2 linked regions of the Saccharomyces cerevisiae S288C genome follow. The protein of the gene in region 1 purifies or fractionates together with the protein of each later gene. This does not show direct contact. Each region holds a gene or a part of one and is shown in the gene's direction. Other genes may lie near its edges.

Region 1 (7,620 bases):
CTCATCTTCCATATCGAATAACGTATACTCGTCTGAGTACCATCCAATCAAACCTCTACGTTCATCGTCATCAACTTATGGCAGCATACGACAGCAACCTCATGAAAATAAGAAGCAGCTGCATGTACCAGATAATTCGCAGGACGATACAATTATCATGATGAACCCCATCGACAATTCATTAAAGTTGACAACTCTAGATACGGGTGATTTGAGTTTCCCCATAGACGAAGAACAGCCCATTTTGAAGAAATCTTTTGGTTATACATGGGCAGTTCCTAATGAAAATACACAAAATACTACTAAAAGCTTCACACCGATAAAGAGATTTATTGCATTTAGCACGGCATACCAGTTGGTCACCGGTTTATTGTTAATGATATTGGTAGTTGGTAGTAATATCATGTTGACAATTGGGGAATCATTGATTCTGTCGATGTATTTCGTCTATGTTCGCGGCCATGAAGGATTATTTACTCCCGTGGTGAACTACTTCGGCTCAAGAACCATTTCAAATTTCATCTTATGCGTAATAATTCCTTTCATATCTCTAAACTTCCTCATCAACACTTCGATATATTTAAGAAGAGAGCTAGACGATTGGTTTAATAATTCACAGGGGGAGTTTGAGGACGACGACGAAAATACTATCAGTAAGAGAGTAGCTACAAATCAAGAGTACCAACATCCACTGAGTGCTAATTACATTTCGATGGATAGTCCTGATGTAATAAATAGCAGCCCGGGTCACTTCGGGATGAATTCAGGCCAGTTGTTAGGTAATACGACGTTATATTATGGTAGTTTAAATGGGGATGATGATGATATGACCAACGACTCCGCTTTACTAAGATTCTGCAAGAAGCTAGTCAAAAATTGGAGGGCTTTGGCAAGAAATGATTCTTTTGTACTTGGAGTAATGGTTTCTTGGAGTCTTCTTGTTTTTGTAACGGGAATACTTTCAACAGTTTATATATAGCATATAAGTAACGACCGTGCACATATTAGGGTGTTCATATCTTGAAAAATCTTTATGTTATCCATTTTACTTTAGGGGAGGTGGAGCTTAATAATAAAATTTACATAAGAACAACAATCTGTAAGTAATTATAAAAATATATTAAAGGGACATTTTAACCCTACTTTAAAAGTTTAACTACATCAGTGGTTCATCAATCAAAGGTTATGCAAGGTAGAAATTTGTCCAAAAGAAAATAGATCATGCATCATTCAATATGGAGCTCACACTGTATGCTACAATTTGGCCTCCATTCATAACTGCCAAGATAAAATTTGTTGGCAATATGGAGCTCACACTGTATGCTACAATTTGGCCTCCATTCATAACTGCCAAGATAAAATTTGTTGGCAATATTGAAAATTCTTAAATTAGCGCTGCGCGGAAACCAGCGTCACTAATTTTTTTTTTTATTGCTGCACTAAAAAAAAACCAGCTCAAGTAGATAATCTTACAAGGGACAAGTAGTCAAGCCTTGCTTATTATAATTCTGTTTAACGGTGCAGTGAGTTTGGACATTCATGCAACGTGGTAAATATGTGTCTCTTTGCTTCTGTATTTAAGCATTTGGGCAGCTTGCGGTCAGTAGAAGAGTGCATCGACATTCATAGATCTCTAATAACATATATTTAAGTGGATATACGCAAAGAAAGGACAAGAAAACTTGTTTCGGTAACAGCATTATTAATTCTGAAGAAATACGCACAAAGAGATGATTTCTGACTACGATGCTCTTTTGCAATTCAACAAAAAACCTGTTTCGCAAGAAATGATTCAGTTCTTAGCCACTTCTACTGCTTCCATAATTAAAATCAGGGAAAATAATAATCCAATCCAAGGATGTCGCCCACCAGACTTATCTATCTTCATTAAAAACGTGGTAATTCAGTCAAATGTTCAAACACCAACTTTAATGGCCACATCAGTTTATTTAAACAAACTGAAAAGCGTAATACCAAAAAATGTGTACGGTATTAACACCACAAGACATCGGATATTTCTCGGATGCTTGATATTAGCTGCCAAAACTCTGAACGATTCTTCTCCCTGGAACAAACACTGGACCACGTACACAGAAGGTTTACTCAGAATACGTGAGGTGAATACCATCGAACGAGAACTATTAGAATATTTAAATTGGGATGTGAGGATAACTACACCGGATTTGATTGATTCTCTTTCTTACTTCCTCGGGCCTATCAAGGAACAACTATTTTTACAAAGGAGACAAGAAATGCTGTTGTTCAATGCACCAAGTCCCGGCCAACTGAAAGAATATATAAATCATAGAAGACCGGTTTCGCATTCTAGAACTTCTTCTGCTATATCGGTTCCTTCACTGACATCCATGGCAACAGTTTCGACAACAGACTCAAGGTCTTCTCTACTGGCAAAATACCAACCGTCCCTACCGTTGGTGGAATCTGACAACTTCAACAAAAAAAATCATGTGCCGTTAAGGAATAATAACGATATCTGTAATAATTTCAGGGCAGAGGAAAACATACACTCAGTAAACCATATTGATGTAACAATGGGAAGTTCACCAGTAATGTCGCATAAGCCCACAATTCACCAACGGTTAAATTTTACAAGGAGGGGCTGGTCATCGTTTTTCAAGCAATAATTCTAAGTTACTCGCCTTTTACAAGCTCTATAAATATTCTTTTCCGTTCTTTAGTTGTCTTAACTTTGTACAATATGAATAACCATCGTTTCTAGGCTACTAAAAAAACACCATACTACATAAACAAATATCTAATAATGAATACTCTTGGCATTCGTCTTGTTTCTCGAGGAATATCGGCCGAGTTTTTTTCATTTTGACAGGTTATATAATTCAAAATCTATCTGACTCTGAAAAAGTGGTAATAAATGCATTGACAACTTCTTCTCTTTATTTTACAGACATTAATCCAGCACTACAAGTGGCATATAACAAGATGCTAAGAAACATTTTGGTGAGAAGTACTGGCAGCAATTTCAAATTTGCTGGCAGATATATGAAATCATCAGCTCTTTTAGGATACTATAGAAGAGTTAACTATTATTCGACCAAGATACAAACCAGACTGACTAGCGAAAACTATCCAGACGTGCATCGAGACCCTAGATTCAAAAAATTAACGTCCGATGATCTAAATTATTTTAAATCTATTTTATCGGAACAAGAAATATTAAGAGCCAGCGAATCAGAGGATCTTTCATTTTATAATGAAGATTGGATGAGAAAGTACAAAGGACAGTCCAAGTTAGTATTGAGACCTAAGTCAGTGGAAAAAGTTTCTTTAATCTTAAATTATTGTAATGATGAAAAAATTGCCGTTGTCCCACAAGGCGGTAACACGGGGTTGGTAGGTGGTTCTGTGCCCATTTTTGATGAATTAATTCTATCTTTAGCAAATTTAAACAAAATAAGAGATTTTGACCCTGTATCAGGTATCTTGAAGTGTGATGCTGGTGTAATCTTGGAAAATGCTAACAATTACGTAATGGAACAAAATTATATGTTTCCGTTGGATCTGGGAGCTAAAGGTTCCTGCCATGTTGGTGGCGTGGTTGCAACCAACGCTGGAGGACTAAGGTTATTGCGTTATGGCTCACTACATGGAAGCGTTTTAGGCTTAGAGGTGGTAATGCCCAATGGTCAAATTGTTAATAGCATGCATTCCATGAGAAAAGACAACACCGGTTATGATCTGAAACAGCTGTTCATTGGCTCAGAAGGTACTATCGGTATCATCACTGGTGTTTCAATCTTGACTGTTCCTAAGCCAAAAGCGTTTAATGTATCTTACTTGTCTGTTGAAAGTTTTGAAGACGTTCAAAAAGTCTTCGTCAGAGCCAGGCAAGAATTATCTGAGATTTTATCCGCTTTTGAATTTATGGATGCTAAATCTCAAGTATTGGCCAAGAGCCAATTGAAGGATGCTGCCTTCCCTTTGGAGGATGAGCATCCATTTTATATTCTTATCGAAACGTCAGGGTCAAACAAAGATCACGATGATTCCAAACTTGAAACATTTTTAGAAAACGTCATGGAAGAGGGCATAGTAACGGATGGTGTAGTGGCACAAGATGAAACCGAACTCCAAAACTTGTGGAAGTGGAGAGAAATGATTCCAGAGGCAAGTCAAGCTAATGGTGGTGTTTACAAATACGATGTTTCTTTACCACTAAAGGACCTATATTCTTTGGTTGAAGCCACTAATGCAAGACTTTCTGAAGCTGAATTAGTGGGTGATTCGCCCAAACCAGTGGTGGGCGCCATTGGATACGGTCACGTGGGTGATGGTAATCTACACTTAAATGTTGCAGTTAGAGAGTACAACAAGAACATTGAAAAGACTTTGGAACCATTTGTCTACGAGTTTGTTTCCTCAAAACATGGTTCCGTTAGTGCCGAACATGGGCTAGGTTTCCAAAAGAAAAATTACATTGGCTATTCTAAGAGCCCGGAAGAGGTCAAGATGATGAAGGATTTGAAGGTTCATTATGATCCTAATGGAATTTTAAACCCTTACAAATACATTTGAAAATAAAATGCCAAGTTTTATAGTTATCTACATATGTATATATTTATCAATATTATATTCTACAATTGTGTATATTATATGGTAAGGGTGATATTTAAGGAAGAAATCCACCCTTCTTTAAGGTTTCCACTGCACATGTTGAAATGTGTCTGAATCTTGATGAGCCCAAAGGCGTGCCACCATACCATCTGGTCACTATTACCAAGACGTTGAATATGTTTGCTCTTTCAAGTAAGGTCAATAAACGCTGTCCAGCACCAGCTTCGCCACAGTCAGCACATCCTTGCTCAATGTTCTTTGGCTGCACCGTTATGTTCCTTGACTTGTTAACATGACTATTATTACTCTTATTTGCTTTATTGCCCTTCTTTTTCTGCTCTTGTTGTAAGTGCAAATTATTTGATACCTCGGCCGTTCTCCAGGCATACATGTGCATGTGGGATGCCTTGGAGACGCTTTTGTTGTTTTGCGTTAGTTCTTGGAGTATGGAGGGTATATCCTTTTGATTTTGTAATGGGCAACATCTTGCTTGAAATTTCGATTTTCTATCAACTAAAACTTCTGATTCATTCCATATTTTCACTAGCTTACCAACATTCTTACTCATTTCTCCAAAAAATAGTAATACCAAACATCAATACCTATCTAAGAATCTGTATAATGTCTTTTCTAAAGGTTTTTTACAGCTGATGATTGATGCATGACTTATTTCCACAGTGCCGTATTTTCTCAGTTGCCGTTTTGGGTCTGCTTTTCACAATGCGAAGCTTTGTTGAAAAGAGCTCTAAGGTCAAAAACAATAGTAAGCTGATCGGTATTAAGTACTTGCCTTCCTGAAAATTGCTAACAAACATCCAAATATACCTTCCCCATAGTTGAATGGCATCTAATAGAACAAAACCAGGTTAAGATAGGTTTTACTTTGAGTTGTTAAATACACGCAGAAAGCGTCTTTCCACATAATCTGAACATTTTGTTATCGATGGCTACTGGCAGGATTCAATTTGCTGTTTCTACTCCCTGCAATACTAAGGGTAAACCGTCTGGTTATAGGTTATTTGAATTTAAAAACGATCGATTAGCACTGGTCCCATCAGAAAGAGGTTGTACAAAAGTAGATGTGAATGCAAATATACAAGCGTTTTGTTATTTAAGGCCTAATGGTAGAGACACGTCAATATCTCCAGACGCAACGCATATTTTGGACTCATGTGATTACATGGTGCTGGCTAAATCCAACGGATTCATTGAAATCATAAGCAACTATCAATACAAGATAAAAAATGGCCTGCGATTAGCGCCCTCTTATATCCTTAGATGTACTCCGGAAGATTTCGAATCCAATTTTTTTAGTGACTATATGATCGCTGGTCTTGAATATAGTCAAGGTTTATTATATTGTTGTATGTGCTCCGGTCGAATATATGTCTTTGTAATGAACCTTCCCACTGATTACATTCAGTATAAGAACATGTACAACCCCATGTTTCCAGATTGCTTTTTCAAAGTACATCACGATAATAATACAACACATTCTTCAGAAGAAGAAAAATTATTTGAAGGTAGTACGCGGTACACTGGAAGGTCATGCTCTAAGCATATCTGCTACTTCCTTTTGCCTATAGAACCATCCCATTTAAGATCGTCACCCGTGGTATCTTCGTTTTGCAATATGTATCAAGGCCTGCCCATATATAGGCCTTCGATGTATTTACATATAGAACGAGGTATTTCCACATTCCATATAAATCCATTAGACCGGTTTTGTTTCATGACAGTATCGCCACGATCACCACTATTTATAAGGAAAATAATTTTACCATTGACTTATGTTACATTTTTAAGCACCTTTATCAGCCTAAAGAACAGTATACAGGGAGATACATGCGGTGAGATACTTTCGTGGGACAACGTAGCGCAACAAAATGGATTTGGTTCTTTGTTCAGCTGGATTAGTAACAAGTTTACATTCGATACGGATATTATAAATTCAACCATTTGGGATGATATTGTAAAATATTCTGGAACAGGAATGCTGGATTCAGGAATCGTCTGGAAACAGCGTCAAGGTCACGCTAAAGATGACATATATGAGTTATTCCACACTCAAGATATGCTGGGAAGTAGTCGCCGAAATTCTTCATTCAGTACTGCTAGCAGCGAACCGAGACCGCTGAGTCGAAGAAGGAGAGAATCTTTTCAAGCCTTAACTAGAGACGCTTTTAGAGAAAGAATGGATGTACCCTGTTCAACGAAGTGGGAATTAGATTCTTTTATCCGAGGATTAAGAAGGAATACATTTATGGTAGATTTTGAAATTGTTGAAAAGATTTCTCATAGAAATGGAAATGATGGGGTGAATGAAGATGATAACACTACAGATGAAAGTGATGAAACAATGACTTCTTTTCTAACAGATAATTACAAAAAGATGGACATTGTGTGCATCGATCATTTCGTCACGTTGAGTGCATTCCGACCTCGGTACTATGATGAACCAATAATTAAAATCGATTCATTATCGAACAAAAATGGCTCTGAAAATGGAACTAATGAAGAAGAGTGGGCAGAAAGTCAAATGAAGGTGGATGGCCAAGTGATAGATGATGAGACAGCTCAATTCAAGCAGGCATTGGGAAATTTATGTTCATTCAAGAAATTATTTATGCTGGATGATTCTTTATGCTTTATATTGGACACACATGGAGTTTTGTTGATAAATAGATTTGAAATAAAAAATACCAAAAATTTGTTAAGGAATTCCAAGGATACTATTCGGATAATACCCCATGATTTCGGATTGATTAATGATACAATTGTTATAATTAATGATATAGACGTAGGCACAGACAATGTTTGCGCCCTTACGTTTCACTTGGTGGTAACATCAATGGCAGGAGAGATAACTGTTCTTAAAGGCGAATTTTTCAAAAACTGCAGGTTAGGAAGAATAAAACTGTGCGATTCACTAAAGCTAAATAGAAAAGATCGGTTTGTCGACAAACTTGCTCTAATCGATTATGACGGTTTAAATGCACAAAAAAGAAGGTTAGATTACGATGAAAA
Region 2 (6,916 bases), on another chromosome or scaffold:
GAGGCCTTAGAAAAGCAGTTTACGGCAAGCGAGTTTGAAAGCTATAAAGAAAAGAAGGAAGACCTTATGGTAAACAAGCTGGGTAGAGCATACCTAAGCTTAAGAGAAATGAAACTTTTAGCTCAAGAAGTGACACCACTAAAGAAAATTATATTTGACTGGGATGCTCCGAGGACCAAAGAGGGATATTACATGTTTAACGGTTGTATTGAAGCAGCTATTAGAAGATCTTTGGTGTTTGCCCCATATTCTGATATGATTTGGCTGGAAACGAAAACTCCTGACCTGGAGCAGGCACGCTCATTTTCAAGAAAAATTCATAAACAACTTCCAGCTACCAAGCTAGTATATAACTTATCTCCTAGTTTCAATTGGAGCGCTCACGGCTTTGATGATAAGGCATTAAAATCCTTCGTATGGGACTTGGCAAAAGAAGGCTTCACGTTGCAACTGGTTTCCCTTGCCGGTCTGCATTCAGATGGAGTATCATTCTGGGAATTAGCCAATAGCTTCCAAAGTGACGGAATGAAAGCATACGTCGAAAAAGTGCAAAAACGGGAAAAGGAGACTAATTGTGATATCATGACACACCAGCTATGGTCTGGTGCAGAATATGTTGATTCCTTAATGAAAGTTGTCCAAAACGGTGCTTCATCCCAAACTTTAAGTACATCTGGTGAGAGCTTTACCGAAACGCAATTTTGAATACGCTTCAAGAAGATAAAAGTATAAATAATACATATTGCCAGCAACTTAGTCACATATCTCTTTTATCTCTATTTATCCTCTTTTTATTAATTTATGACCACGATCACTATATTTAGTTCGAAAGTTAGTGTTTGTTTTGCCAAGATATCCTCGCAGAAACAGTTTTACTTAAAGTTTCAGGTGTTGCGTGGAATGCCCCTGCTAAGCTGTCGTGTCGCGCTCTTCCCCGCGTTTGTTTCACATTATATATCATATGGCGTATGACGGTATGGGTGAAAATAAGCGTAGGCTGGTTGTGTGTATTTCTCTCGCACTTTGAAAGGGAAAAATAAAAATAGAGTCTATTAGGAAGCTCACATATGCCGGGAAAAATTACGTAAAGCATCAAAAGGGAAAGAAAATATAGGGAAAGATAAAACAAAAAGCAGAACGGTATCAGGCATTCTTGTTTTAGCCTTTATGTACGATATGGCGTTTATTATGGAGAATATTGAGGTATTCAACTATTTAATACTTGCTATAAATTCTGCCAAACTACTAATCATTCCGTTTATATAACTCAAGAAAAGAGAAATACAGAAACAAATAGATCAGATGCATTTCAAAGATTTAGGATTGCATGACTACACTCTCAAAAACTTGATGTATGAGAATAATTGCTGTAAATTTTATGATGCCGTGGATGAAAACAACATCTCATATGTTTTAAAATTTGTTCCCTCAGATGTGACTTCGGAAGGGGATACTTTCCCATTCGTGGATCGCTTTCAAGTAAAGGAAGGTGTTTTTTTGGTATATTCCTCAAATGACTTTGGAAAAGAAGGTACGGACTACTTTACTTATACTGGTAGTGGTGGAAATGAGGTTCACATCTCGGGCACCTCTTCAGAAGCAGGAATAAAACCGCAGTTTATTGAAACTTGCCATCCAAAACATCTTAAGCGGGGAACAAAAGAGCAGGAAGATATAAATAGTAGTACCTCAAAGAAAAGTGCAGTTATCAACAATTTTTCGGGTGAAAAAACACCAAATCCAAGGCCACAGAGTTCCAACATTTCAGAAAGAGAGACGTATGTCGGAATATTGAACGTCAAATGTAAAAATAAGAACTCATCGAAAATACGAAGTGAAAAATTGGTAAGCTCCGTCATCGAAACAAAGCATACGCCAGGATTGGCATCTATTTTATCGAAAGAAGGCACTACATATCCGAATAATGCGGACGGGAAACATATCAGTATCGTGAATCCATCCTCAAAAATATATCATTCATCCCATAAACAGATTGTTAAAACGCCTATCCCTAAGAGTGGCCTTTCTCCAATTGAGAGATGCCCTTTCAATGGTCAAAATATTAAATGCTACTCACCAAGACCACTAGATCATGAAAGTCCCCAACGTGATTTCAATAATAACTTTCAGCTGAGAATACTGAAGAGCTCGGTGTTGCAAAGGAGACAATCAACACAGAATAGTTGAAAAATTCGTTGGTACTAGCTTCGGGTCGGTTAGCTGCGCTGCTATGCATTTGTTAATATCTCCATCGAATTTTTGTTGTTTCGTTCAATAACTTTATTACTTCCCCCTTGGACTCTTTCGTTCTATCGTTCTACAAGTCCAGCCAAAATTTTTCCCCTCTTCCTTTTCTTTTGTTCACTTCTTAGCTCACTTATATAATTATATACTGATATTTGGATTCTTTTGTTGCAAATATGCTCTCCCAGATTTTTCTGTTGAGATGATTCATGCTTTACATGGATTGAGCATTAGAGAGTAACTATATCCAATTTCGTAAGACGAGTATCTACTTTCCCTTGTCCCCAGTAACCTCAGGAACGTGACAACTACTTTTCTTAAACTGTCAACAGCCAATGATACCGTATTCAATGCATGTCTTGGGATTAAGCCACTTTGATTGAGTTCCGTATTAGTAGTGAGAATTAAATCTTGCAAGATATAAGAATTACTCAACAGAGACGAGATACTTTCCTTTTTTTGGTTCTTTTGTTGTTACTTGGCTTAATGGACAAAGTCTGCTCGCATATTGTATATGTTACTCTTACGATGTGACTCCGCCCGTTTATTATGACTTTTCGGTACATTTTTAGGGCCTCGAACGAAAATCTACTAACTAAAAATTAAAAACAATTAAAATAATCAACAAACAAAATCTAGTGATATAATTTACTACCATTAACGGTAAAGCAGCTAATTGTTAATTTCTATGTTTAAATCATTGGCTGCTGTCTTGCCTAGAGCTAGCAAGGCAAAGTTCCTCCAGAAAAATTACGCCTCCACTTTAGCTTTCATTGAAAGCTCAAAAGATGGCTCTGTTTCAAGGTCATCATTGAGTTTATTGGCTGCTGCACAAAAGTTGTCTAACCCTATCACAGCTGTAATCACAGGTAGCAAAGCTGAAAAAACTGCTGAGGCGCTAAAATCTTCATATTCATGCAGCAATTTAGAAAAGCTTGTCATATTTGAAGATTCAAAATTAGATACCTGTCTTCCCGAACAACTAACTCCGTTATTAGTGAAACTATTAAAAGGCGGCGACTATTCACATTTTGTTGTCTCAAACTCCTCTGTTGGAAAAAGTGTTTTACCTCGGGTGGGTGCGCTCTTGGACGTCCAACCTGTTTGTGAGGTTACTGTAATCAAAGATCCTAAGACCTTTATAAGGCCAATTTATGCAGGTAACATTATTTCTACAATAGAATGCCAGGCAGAAAAAAAACTGTTGATTATTAGGGCATCAGCTTTTCCACCAATTGCAGAGGGTAGTATGGATTCTGTTACCATTGAGAAGAGAACTGATATTCCTCCTTGTGACTTAAATGTTACCTGGGTTAAAACTATTCTTACCAAGAGTGAAAGGCCTGAACTTACTTCTGCACAGAACGTGGTAACTGGTGGAAGGGCACTCAAGGATAAGGAGACATTTGAGAAGCTATTATCGCCGCTAGCAGATGTTTTGCACGCTGCTATAGGTGCCACAAGAGCTTCTGTTGATAATGGACTATGTGATAATTCTCTACAAATCGGTCAGACTGGTAAGGTAGTCGCACCAAATTTGTATATAGCCATTGGCGTTTCTGGTGCAGTTCAGCATTTAGCGGGAATGAAGGATTCGAAAGTTATCGTTGCCATTAACAATGATCCTGATGCCCCTATATTTAATGTCGCTGACTATGGGTTGCAAGGGGATCTTTACAAAATAGTCCCTGAACTAACTGAAAAACTTGGTAAATATAAATAAATAAATTCTTAACTTCTAAATATATTCATCTCTTCGCTTTGAAGGGGGCACGTTTTACTTTTCCTAGTTCTCTTGCCTTTTTAAAAATGACCTTTTCGGTGTAAAGCGGACTAAATATAAAAGACTACGAGAAATGGCAAAGGAATAATAGAGTTCTTCCAGATGGGAGAATATGAGGAGAACAATAACTCCACAAACTTCCTAGTGATTTCCAAGAACTTACGGAAACAATTATAGGATGACATCAAATAATTCGTTATTGGGGCGTGGAAGGATGTCATATTCCTCTACCGCTCCACCAAGATTCAAAAGATCAGTCGACCAGCGTGACACTTTCTCGGACAATTTTGATTATGATAAGGATTCATCCAATCGAGGCAGGACCTATATTGCAGCATCTAATTCAACTACTGGGGTACCCCCACCCAACAACTCAAGATCAGGATGCACCAATAATACAAATAATACAAATAATACAAGTAATACAAGTAATACGAACAATAATGATAGCGTTGATGAGAATACAGTGTTTGAAACTTTACCTTATTACCTGCCCTGCTTTTCATGGCTTCCTGAGTACACTTTCAATAAACTGTGGGGCGACGTAATCGCAGGTATCTCAGTAGCGTCATTTCAGATACCACTTGCGCTATCGTACACAACTTCAATTGCACATGTCCCACCTTTATGCGGACTATATTCTTTGGCTATTAGCCCATTTGTCTATGGTATTTTAGGTTCTGTTCCTCAGATGATAGTTGGGCCCGAAAGTGCAATTTCCTTGGTCGTGGGACAAGCAGTCGAATCTATAACACTACATAAAGAAAATGTTTCTCTAATTGATATTTCAACAGTAATAACATTTGTTAGTGGCACTATCCTACTTTTTTCTGGTATTTCCAGATTTGGTTTCCTTGGAAATGTTCTTAGCAAGGCACTTCTACGAGGTTTCATAAGTTCAGTAGGACTGGTTATGATAATCAACTCTTTGATTTCTGAATTAAAGCTAGACAAATTTTTAGTAAGCTTGCCTCAACACTACCATACCCCTTTCGAGAAAATACTTTTCCTCATTGATTATGCACCAGCACAATACCATATACCAACGGCAATATTCAGCGGATGTTGCTTGATTGTCCTCTTTTTAACGCGTCTACTAAAGAGGAAATTAATGAAATATCACAAGAGCGCAATATTTTTTCCAGATATATTATTGGTGGTAATTGTTACTATTCTTATTTCCATGAAATTTAATTTAAAACACAGATATGGTATTTCTATCATTGGCGACTTTAGCATGGACAATTTTGATGAATTGAAAAACCCTTTAACTCGTCCTAGACGTAAGCTAATACCAGATCTTTTTAGTGCATCTCTAATAGTGGCAATGTTGGGTTTTTTTGAATCTACGACCGCGTCGAAATCTCTTGGAACAACTTACAATCTTACCGTTTCCTCTAATAGAGAACTAGTAGCTTTAGGATTCATGAATATTGTCATCTCATTATTCGGTGCTCTTCCCGCATTCGGCGGATATGGAAGATCCAAGATCAACGCCCTATCAGGAGCACAAAGCGTAATGTCGGGAGTGTTTATGGGTGTCATCACCCTAATCACAATGAATTTACTTCTTCAATTCGTACATTATATTCCTAATTGTGTTTTATCCGTCATAACAACCATCATCGGAATTAGTTTATTAGAGGAAGTGCCAGGCGACATAAAGTTCCATTTGCGATGTGGTGGCTTTAGTGAACTATTTGTTTTTGCTGTTACCTTCTGCACTACAATATTTTACTCAATCGAAGCAGGAATATGCATCGGATGTGTCTATTCAATTATAAATATTATAAAGCATTCAGCAAAGTCAAGAATCCAAATTCTGGCTAGGGTAGCGGGAACGTCGAACTTTACGAATCTTGACGACTACATGATGAACATGAAAAGGAACTCTCTGGATGTTGAGGGCACAGAAGAAATCGAGGGATGCATGATTGTTAGAATACCTGAGCCTCTCACATTTACAAACAGCGAAGATTTAAAACAGAGACTTGACAGAATAGAGAGGTACGGTTCGTCTAAGATACATCCTGGAAGGAAATCACTTCGCTCGAAGGATTCCATAAAATATGTCATTTTCGATTTAGGTGGGATGACCTCAATAGATTCTTCAGCCGCCCAAGTGCTGGAGGAAATTATCACTAGTTACAAGAGGCGCAATGTCTTTATTTACCTTGTCAATGTATCTATAAATGACAAAGTAAGAAGGCGATTATTCAAAGCAGGTGTAGCTGCTAGTGTGGAAAGAGCGCAAGCAAATAACAACGAAAATAATACTAGCAACACATTTAGTGATGCAGGAGAGACATATTCTCCGTACTTCGATAGCATTGATGCGGCTCTTTATGAAATTGAGAAAATGAAAATTAAAGGGAACAACGTCCCGAACAATGATTCGGAGAGTTTTATGTCCAATACTTTATTTAATTCAAGTCTAGTGTAAAACTTCGAAAGAAACAGAGGAGTCTGGGCATATGCGCATTATGAAATTTATTCCTTGCGGCCCTATAATATTTTTGGGGCTTATTTATCAAAACAGTATTGTCTCCTCAATTCTTTAGTTTATTTATTTCTTTACGATAAAATCGTTAACAAGCTTTCAAGAAGCGCATTTATACGTTATAAAACCCACAAAATTGAATACAAAAGCAAAACCTTATTGTCTTAATGAGCCGCACAAACGCACAAACACTTAAACAATCACTTTTGATCCGAGTTTCCGCTCTCCTCGCTCTAGTTAGATTCTAATCTTATATAAGTTATATAGGATAAGTGATATTCTGTATGAGAAAGAGATGAATTGAGAGACAGTCCCTAATTCAAAGAAAGTCGAAATGTAAAAATTAATAATGTATATTGTCAAGAGATGTTCGAATTAGTTGATAATTG

Evidence for each region.
Region 2: the proteins of DLD2 (region 1) and AIM45 purify together in Saccharomyces cerevisiae (affinity purification with mass spectrometry, with the first as the bait; 2 studies listed by BioGRID). This does not show direct contact.

The regions. Positions count from the first base shown.
Region 1 is NC_001136.10:136,561-144,180, forward strand, and holds DLD2 (D-lactate dehydrogenase), read left to right. Parts: upstream 1-2,961; coding exon 2,962-4,554; downstream 4,555-7,620. Other genes in the region: AIT1 (Ait1p), read left to right, coding at 1-979; PCL9 (Pcl9p), read left to right, coding at 1,731-2,645; YDL177C (uncharacterized protein), read right to left, coding at 4,649-5,161; GID12 (Gid12p), read left to right, coding at 5,537-7,620.
Region 2 is NC_001148.4:561,058-567,973, reverse strand, and holds AIM45 (Aim45p), read left to right. Parts: upstream 1-2,932; coding exon 2,933-3,967; downstream 3,968-6,916. Other genes in the region: methylisocitrate lyase ICL2, read left to right, coding at 1-705; HAL1 (Hal1p), read left to right, coding at 1,303-2,187; YPR003C (uncharacterized protein), read left to right, coding at 4,206-6,470. UniProt on the Saccharomyces cerevisiae protein: The electron transfer flavoprotein serves as a specific electron acceptor for several dehydrogenases, including five acyl-CoA dehydrogenases, glutaryl-CoA and sarcosine dehydrogenase.